Linked DNA regions of Kluyveromyces lactis. The protein of the gene in region 1 purifies or fractionates together with the protein of each later gene. This does not show direct contact. Links are inferred from orthologs where the notes say so. Each region holds a gene or a part of one and is shown in the gene's direction. Other genes may lie near its edges. The genes, in order: PFD1, PAC10 and GIM3.

Region 1 (2,345 bases):
TTCCCAAACTCTTAGTTATAAACTTTCTTTATTAATCATATGTACAGTAAGTATAGTTTTAATTTATTCTTGATTGTTATCATCTATTTCGACGAGGTTGGTGGGCCGAATGCAACAATCGCAGCTGCATGGATGTTTCTTCTTACATCACGTTTATCGACATCATGGGTATCTTCAACTTCACCCCATCTTTCAACTTGGTAAATAGTCTCGAGGGTAGCTGCTCTTGCAATATCTTCCATGGAAACTTGTAACTCAGGAATATTTGTGACAGTTGCCGATTTATTCAATAGCAATAATAGACCGCAAATAAAGGATTTTGTTGTTAGGACAGTCTTCTCGAAAATGGCTAAATCCCAAACAGATAAAGAATCCAAATACTGTTTAGCTACTTCTCTGGTCTCTCCACTTTGGGCGTTACCTCTCAATCCATGTAAATCAGCGTCCAATATTTGTAATTTGACTTCTTTCTTATCTTTATTTATTTGAGATAGGAACTTTTCGACACCGGAAATTATCGGTAGATACAATTCATCTTGAGCCTTTCTTAGCGCACCTTCGTATTCATTTGCTGGAGAAAACACTAATAGAGTATCAGTATCTAAATATCTCAAAAGACCTTCAGTTAACTTTTCTCTGTTCCCACCTATCTTCGCAACAAGTTCTGGGTCTACACCGTCCTCATTGGCCTTTTCCAAATCAATGCAACGGGAAACTAAAGAGGTTAAAGGTAAAACATAAGGCTTGACAGATAAACTAGGAAGATTACTCCATTCATTGAGAACCATAACCGATAAAAGCTTACGAGATTGTGGTAAAGTTAAAGGGTTCCCCAAAGGAGTACGCAAAGGCTTAGAATCCAATTTAATGGTAACATTTTCGGGGGTTTCTTCTAAACTCACTTGTTCCCAAAACTTAGTCAAAGTCTTGGACAATCTATTAGTCTCTGTTTGTAAATTATTCTCGATACTGTGATCCACACCTAATGGAGAAGCTTGTGCATAACATCTGACTCGTGATAAAACAGTTGGCGAAACCAAACGAAATGGCCTGCTCAATCTTAACATATTTGCAAACAATTCTTGTTAAGTATCACTGGATGTAAATTGAACCAAGGGCTTTGGAGAACTTGGTCCAACCTTTTTTTCATTTCTATTCGGGCATCTTGTACTTATTCACTACTATAATGATTCAAAAAATAAAATTATAAAGTTTCCACGATCTGAAATTTAAAGCTTTAAGCATGATGATATGGAAACTATTGAAATGTAAGAGTCATACGCTGGCTTTGCAGTAGTCAATCTAGATCTGTGAGGCATAGTGCAAAGAATTTGATACTCAATTACACAAATTTGACAAAATGAGCTCTCAACCGCAAGATATAGTAAAGGAGATGGCAAATTCTCTTCGTAACAGCAGATCACAATTGGATATGACGCTTGCACAACTGGAACAACTACAGAGGCAAAAAAAGATTGCTAAGTTGACTGAAAAGGAATTGGGAAATTATGGAAATGAGCAAGTGTGGAGATCTTGTGGTAAGATGTTCATCCGTCAAGAGAAGCAAGCCTACACTGCTGATTTAAACCATGATGAAAGAATATTGGACGAACAGATAAAGGCATTGGAACAAAAGAGACATTACCTACAGACCACAGTCGATAACACGGTAGAGAGTTTGAGAAGAGTCATTGGAAATTAAATCAACTACTGAGTCGGCATCGACAGGGGTTTTTGTATGGGTCAAGCAATGTGGGAAGATAGTACCCTTAAAAGTCGTATTCATCATAGAATAGAGTTAAAGTATTTAGCAGTGGTAATGTTATATATAGTTGTACATTAAGAATTCTCTATTTCAGAATACATGTGGTCTTTATTCATCGCACGTCAAGGAGGAGGTACATTCGATCAAACCGCACTGTATCCGCCTCTTTGAGACGATGAACCACTATTTACGATTTTCCCTGCCACTTCTTTAGCGAATTGTGGGAGATTGGTAGCGAACGTAGTCGATCTATCAACGAACTCTTCCCGGAAATCGTTAAAGGAACCGTTTCTAGTGTTCATATACGAAGTAACCACGAGATAAATAAGGGCAAAGATAGTTGCATACATGAATAGCCATACGAGCCACGACCCAAGACCAGCTCCGCCCTTTGGTTTGGATCCATTTTTATCACCATCGTGAGGCTTCTTATCGGAGTCATCACCATCCTTATCATTGTTATCGTCGTCTCCGTTGCCATCTTTATTGTCATTTCCCTTTTTCAAACAACCAAATGGACCAGAGAACACTAGTTTCACATTTTGATCATCGGTCCAGCTGGATTCCGTTAAAGAACCCG
Region 2 (2,567 bases), on another chromosome or scaffold:
ACAATTCCGACAATAACTGGCTCAAATTGTACTGCAAAGAGAGTCAGCCTATCTCTACTGGATAGTAAAAAATTTCTCTTGGTTAAAATGAATGTTTGTTGTAAGATGGACACAGATGGTGGAGAAGGATCGACGCTTATAACCGCTGTTTCCTTTGAGGTGTCATATTTGGTAGAACATCTCTCTTGCCATTCCGAAGCAAACATATTCCACCTTCCTTCAGAATCAAGCGTCGACTTTTCAGTTCTATTGTCTACGCTACAGATATCTATCAAGTAATCTGCAGGATTGCACCTTTCAGGGACGGTGTATCCCATGGATGAGAAGTATTCCACCATACCGACCACCGCACCGCAATACATCGGGAATCCCTTTGATAATAGGCACACTTGATCTAACGCGAAAAGTATATCTGACCGAGGCTGATGAATGCTCATAATAATAGTTCTTCCGCCATGTTCACAAAGTTTCTTTAACGTTTTTATCAACAAAAACGCAGAGTACGCATCAAGCCCAGTTGTTGGTTCATCCAGGAATAAGACAGACGGATTTGCAATCATCTGTACTGCTATACTTAGTCTTCTCTTTTCACCTCCTGAGAGTCCTTTGTTTATTGAATCACCTACGAACGTCTCTGAGCAATCCCTCAACCCCAACTCCGCAATCAACTCTTCTACTAATGAATATCTTTCTTGTTTCGGCAGATGTAATTTAAGATCAGCAGCAATACGAAGTGTTTCTCTGCATGTCAACCTCGCAGCTAATGCGTCATGCTGTGTCAAGTACGCTGTGGTTACCTTCTCGTCAGCTTTAGATCCCTCTTTTGCAGCATCTCGACTGTATTGGATTTCCCCATCATAGTTTATACTCGAATTTGTTTTGCCTGCTAGAACATTAAGCATGGTAGTCTTACCTGAACCTGATCCACCAATAATTGCCATTAGCTGACCATTTGGAAGAGAAAACGACACATTATTGACGATTGTTGCATCCTTGGCATGTATATTCAACTCAATTACGTTTAAAGAAACTCTTGTGAGAGAAACGAACGAGAGTTCATTCTCTAACATTTACTGACTTGATTTTAACTAAGGAACCAGGAATTCTAATATGTCCGAGCACTTGATGAAGTTTCCGAACTAATGATTTCGTTTTTCCGATAATGCCAACTTTTCCTTTACTTGTTAACTTTTCATTCTTCTGCATGTAAACAATGTTAATCTTCCATAGTTTTGCAAATTAAAACAAACTTTGAATGAAACAAAGAATTGTTGAAGTATTGAGGGGAAAGAGCTGCTTGGTATGTGCTTGGACCGCGTGGAGACGTCAAAACAAAACTACAAAGTAACATAATGGATACGCTATTCAATTCTGCAAAGACAAATCCTAGAGGGATTCCTGAGGCTCCATTCGTGGAAAAGGTGGAGCAGTATGTGAAGAGTCCTGAGGATTTCGATATGTGCTTCAGCAAGTTCCAAGAACATCTATCCAAATATAAGTACATGCAAGAGTCTAAACTAGCAAACATAAAACAGCTTAAAAGCAAGATTCCAGATATTGAAAATACTCTCAATATGTGTGCGCTTTTGAAGCAAAAGAGAGAGACAGAGGTTGACGAAGACGATGAGGAGGAAGATGACAGCTTGCTGATCAACTATCAGCTAAATGAAACGCTTTTTAGTAAGGCGTCAGTCAATCCGAAGGATCCTGAATTAAAGGTCGGGTTATGGTTAGGTGCCGATGTGATGCTCGAGTATCCTCTAGATGAGGCAATTGAGCTTTTAGCTCAAAAGCTAGCAGATGCCAAGCAAAATCTGGACATATCTCAGCAAGATGTGGAGTTCCTAAGAGAGAATATCACGACTATGGAGGTCAATTGTGCTAGATTATACAATTGGGATGTTCAAAGGAGGCAGCAGATGAAAAAGGAAGGCTCTTCTGGTTGAACTGTTTCTTTAAATCCTATTTATGTATATACACCATGTAATTGAATCAACGCATTGATAGATTTAAATATTATCATTATCTACAAAAAGTGTTTCACCTTCTAAAAGTATCCAAGAACTGGACCCCTAAAGTGCGCTGAGGTTCATCTTGAGGTTCTTCGGCCTCTTCCTCATTTAGATCTTCCGATGTCATATCGTTTGTCATAACTGCGCTTGGTCTGTTTAATGTGCTAGAACTTCTGTTCCAGCTGTCTTTGAAAGGCGCCAATTGGAAGGAGTCAGTACCTGGTAGTAGCCCATTATCCATCAAGATAGCACAAATCCAACTTATTAGTCCGATTACCAACCCTGTTGCGCCTTGATTTACCATGGCAAGGAATAACAGGCCATGGATGAAAAATTGATCTGTCAGCTTCCAAACGATCGTGTTAGAATGAAGAAGAAAAGGTTGGTTGATTATTATATTGAATTCGTATAACCTTGGTGTATACTGTTTGTAGAAATGAGTCAAACACAATATTACTGGTAGTGGGCCATTTGTGTATTGATCCCACCAAATTCCAGGCAAAAGCTTGTTAAGTAGATTCGAAATCAAAAATATTACCACTGTTGTATAAGCCC
Region 3 (2,523 bases), on another chromosome or scaffold:
GATATTTGGAGGTACGATCCATCTCATGGTGATAACATTCCAATTGCCCAGGCACTACAATATTCTGACACGAAAGGGTTCCCGCAATTGATTGATTTCTCAAAGAAGTTGGTTAGTTACTTAAACAAGCCAGCTTACGACAATTGGGATGTTATGTTAGCAAATGGATCTTCTGATTCTTTATCTAAAGTTTTCACCACTTTAACAGATGAAGACGTTACCGTGTTAATGGAAGAATTTACTTTCACTCCGACTATCTCCAACGTCACTGCAAATGGTGGGATTCCGATTCCATTGAAAGTTGATATCACGGATGATGCTTCTCAGCAGGGTATTAACGTCGAGTATATGGACCAATTGCTTGAGAATTGGTCAACAGGTGAATATTCTCACTTATCTAAGCCTAGACTGTTATACACAATCGTCACAGGGCAAAATCCAACCGGTATGACACAATGCAAAGAGAAGAGACAGAAAATATACGATCTATGCGAAAAACATGACATTATAATTGTGGAAGATGATCCGTATGGTTACCTAAAGTTTTTACCCTTTGACAAGTCTGATCCATTAAAGAATCAATATAACGATGGCACTATCACTTTCGATAAATATTGTAAAGAAATATTAGCCCCCTCATATTTGACCATAGACACATCAGGGAGAGTCATTAGATTAGAAACTTTCTCCAAAGTCTTCGCCCCTGGGATGCGTCTTTCCTTCATTGTCGCCAATAAATTTATCCTAGACAAGTTATTGAAATATGCAGACATTTCTGTTAGATCGCCATGTGGTCTTGCCCAAGCTATGACCATTAATATAATAGACAAATGGGCAGAAAATTTCAATGGAGACAAGGTCAGAGCTTGGCTATCATGGGTCATGAAAGTTGCTGGTGAGTATACACATAGAAGAAATGTGCTTTTCCAAGCATTGGAAGCTACACCAGCTTATAAAGAAGAATTATTTGAATTGATTGAACCCTCTGCCGGTATGTTCATTAGTATCAAGATCAATTTTGATAAGTTCGGAGAAATCTCGGATAAATTAAAGGCCATGAATTTCTTAAACTACAAGTTGTTGGAAGAAGGTTGCATTGTAATCTTGGGTTACAGAATGGCAGTTGACAAGAAATTTTCATATGACAGGTCCAACTTTTTAAGAATTACATTTGCTATGGCTCCAGATGAAGAGCATTTACAAACAGCTGCTGAAAGGCTAGGTAAAGGTGTTGAGAGATTCTTCAAAGAGTATCACAACTGAAGGGGTCTGTTTTACAGCTCTTTCTGGTAATTGCTAATTTTCAACCTCACGTTGCACCATAAAAACAAAAGTTAGATACTTATATATGAATGCATAATTACAACGTGAAACAATAAACCTGATAGGGCCGTGAAATATGTCCCAACTGCTTTCTTTTGAGCATGAAATTGTAAAATTGCATGACATAATTTTGCATGTCAGTAGTGTAATTTGCAAGATAAATCTTTAGAGTATGTAAAAGTTGAATAAAAAATAACAAGAATGGCTAAAAGTACAGATGAAAACAGTACATGACATGAGTAGACACAGAGACATCTACCACATCTTACACGCAACACACTAACTAGAAATGGAATTACTACCGGAGGGTCAAAAGAACACGGTCACCGTTGCATACGAAGATCAACAACGTATCAATGAGTTCTCCAAGTTGATCATGAGAAAAGATGCTATCGAACAAGATTTGACGCAACAAAGAACAGAGAAAGAGTACCTCGACGACGTATCGTTGGAAATTGAATTGATAGACGAGGATGAGAAGGTACAATATAAGATCGGAGACGTCTTCGTATTTCTAAAACAGAAAGAAGTAGTTGAAAAGTTAGAATCCGATGCTGAAAACATCGACAGCAATATAGAAAAGCTAGAGAGCGATGAGGCGGAATTGGACTCAAGAATAAAAGAGCTAAAGAGTATATTGTATGCCAAATTCGGTGACAACATCAATTTGGAACGTTGAGCCCATAAATATACATTGCTGAAGTGCTTGATAGAATTGAAAAAATATCCTTAAACCGAGTAATATATGTTTGCGTATAAAATCTACATAGAAAATAATAGTAAAGACCGACACAACGTTGATTCAGTCCATAATGCAATCAAACAGCATGTTCTTTCAGCCCACCTAACGCATGAACCTCCTGGTCTTCTTCTATTTCAAGCCCCCAATTAAAATGTTGGTTCATTTCCTTGAATTTAGCGACAAACTCTTCTGGCAAATCCAAACTAAACCCATTGAATAATGTATATTCATGCGTTATAGTCCCATCAAGTTCATGTGCCACATTCACTAAATCATTGTAGTATTGGAAGCTGTCAGGATATATAACCATAAGTGAAGATACTGTATTTGACGATGACGATGATGATGTTAGTAAAGTTGAGAATTAAAGGGAAAAAAAAGGGTTAAGAAAATCCGTCCTTAAACATACACGAACTGGCCAACGCCGTTCCAATAAAAATAGGTGCAAATCTCATATC

The links.
Region 2: the proteins of PFD1 (region 1) and PAC10 purify together in Saccharomyces cerevisiae (affinity purification with mass spectrometry; 3 studies listed by BioGRID). This does not show direct contact. The link is inferred for Kluyveromyces lactis from reciprocal best matches to the Saccharomyces cerevisiae genes PFD1 and PAC10.
Region 3: the proteins of PFD1 (region 1) and GIM3 purify together in Saccharomyces cerevisiae (affinity purification with mass spectrometry; 3 studies listed by BioGRID). This does not show direct contact. The link is inferred for Kluyveromyces lactis from reciprocal best matches to the Saccharomyces cerevisiae genes PFD1 and GIM3.

The regions. Positions count from the first base shown.
Region 1 is NC_006037.1:573,112-575,456, forward strand, and holds PFD1 (prefolding complex chaperone subunit), read left to right. Parts: upstream 1-1,360; coding exon 1,361-1,702; downstream 1,703-2,345. Other genes in the region: ATP synthase complex assembly protein ATP12, read right to left, coding at 84-1,067; ATG27 (Atg27p), read right to left, coding at 1,909-2,345. UniProt on the Saccharomyces cerevisiae protein: Binds specifically to cytosolic chaperonin (c-CPN) and transfers target proteins to it. Binds to nascent polypeptide chain and promotes folding in an environment in which there are many competing pathways for nonnative proteins.
Region 2 is NC_006039.1:412,235-414,801, forward strand, and holds PAC10 (tubulin-binding prefolding complex subunit PAC10), read left to right. Parts: upstream 1-1,352; coding exon 1,353-1,946; downstream 1,947-2,567. Other genes in the region: KLLA0_C04477g (uncharacterized protein), read right to left, coding at 1-1,070; DSC2 (Dsc2p), read right to left, coding at 2,041-2,567. UniProt on the Saccharomyces cerevisiae protein: Binds specifically to cytosolic chaperonin (c-CPN) and transfers target proteins to it. Binds to nascent polypeptide chain and promotes folding in an environment in which there are many competing pathways for nonnative proteins.
Region 3 is NC_006040.1:948,578-951,100, forward strand, and holds GIM3 (tubulin-binding prefolding complex subunit GIM3), read left to right. Parts: upstream 1-1,612; coding exon 1,613-2,002; downstream 2,003-2,523. Other genes in the region: ARO9 (aromatic-amino-acid:2-oxoglutarate transaminase), read left to right, coding at 1-1,263; KLLA0_D11143g (uncharacterized protein), read right to left, coding at 2,142-2,386, 2,475-2,520. UniProt on the Saccharomyces cerevisiae protein: Binds specifically to cytosolic chaperonin (c-CPN) and transfers target proteins to it. Binds to nascent polypeptide chain and promotes folding in an environment in which there are many competing pathways for nonnative proteins.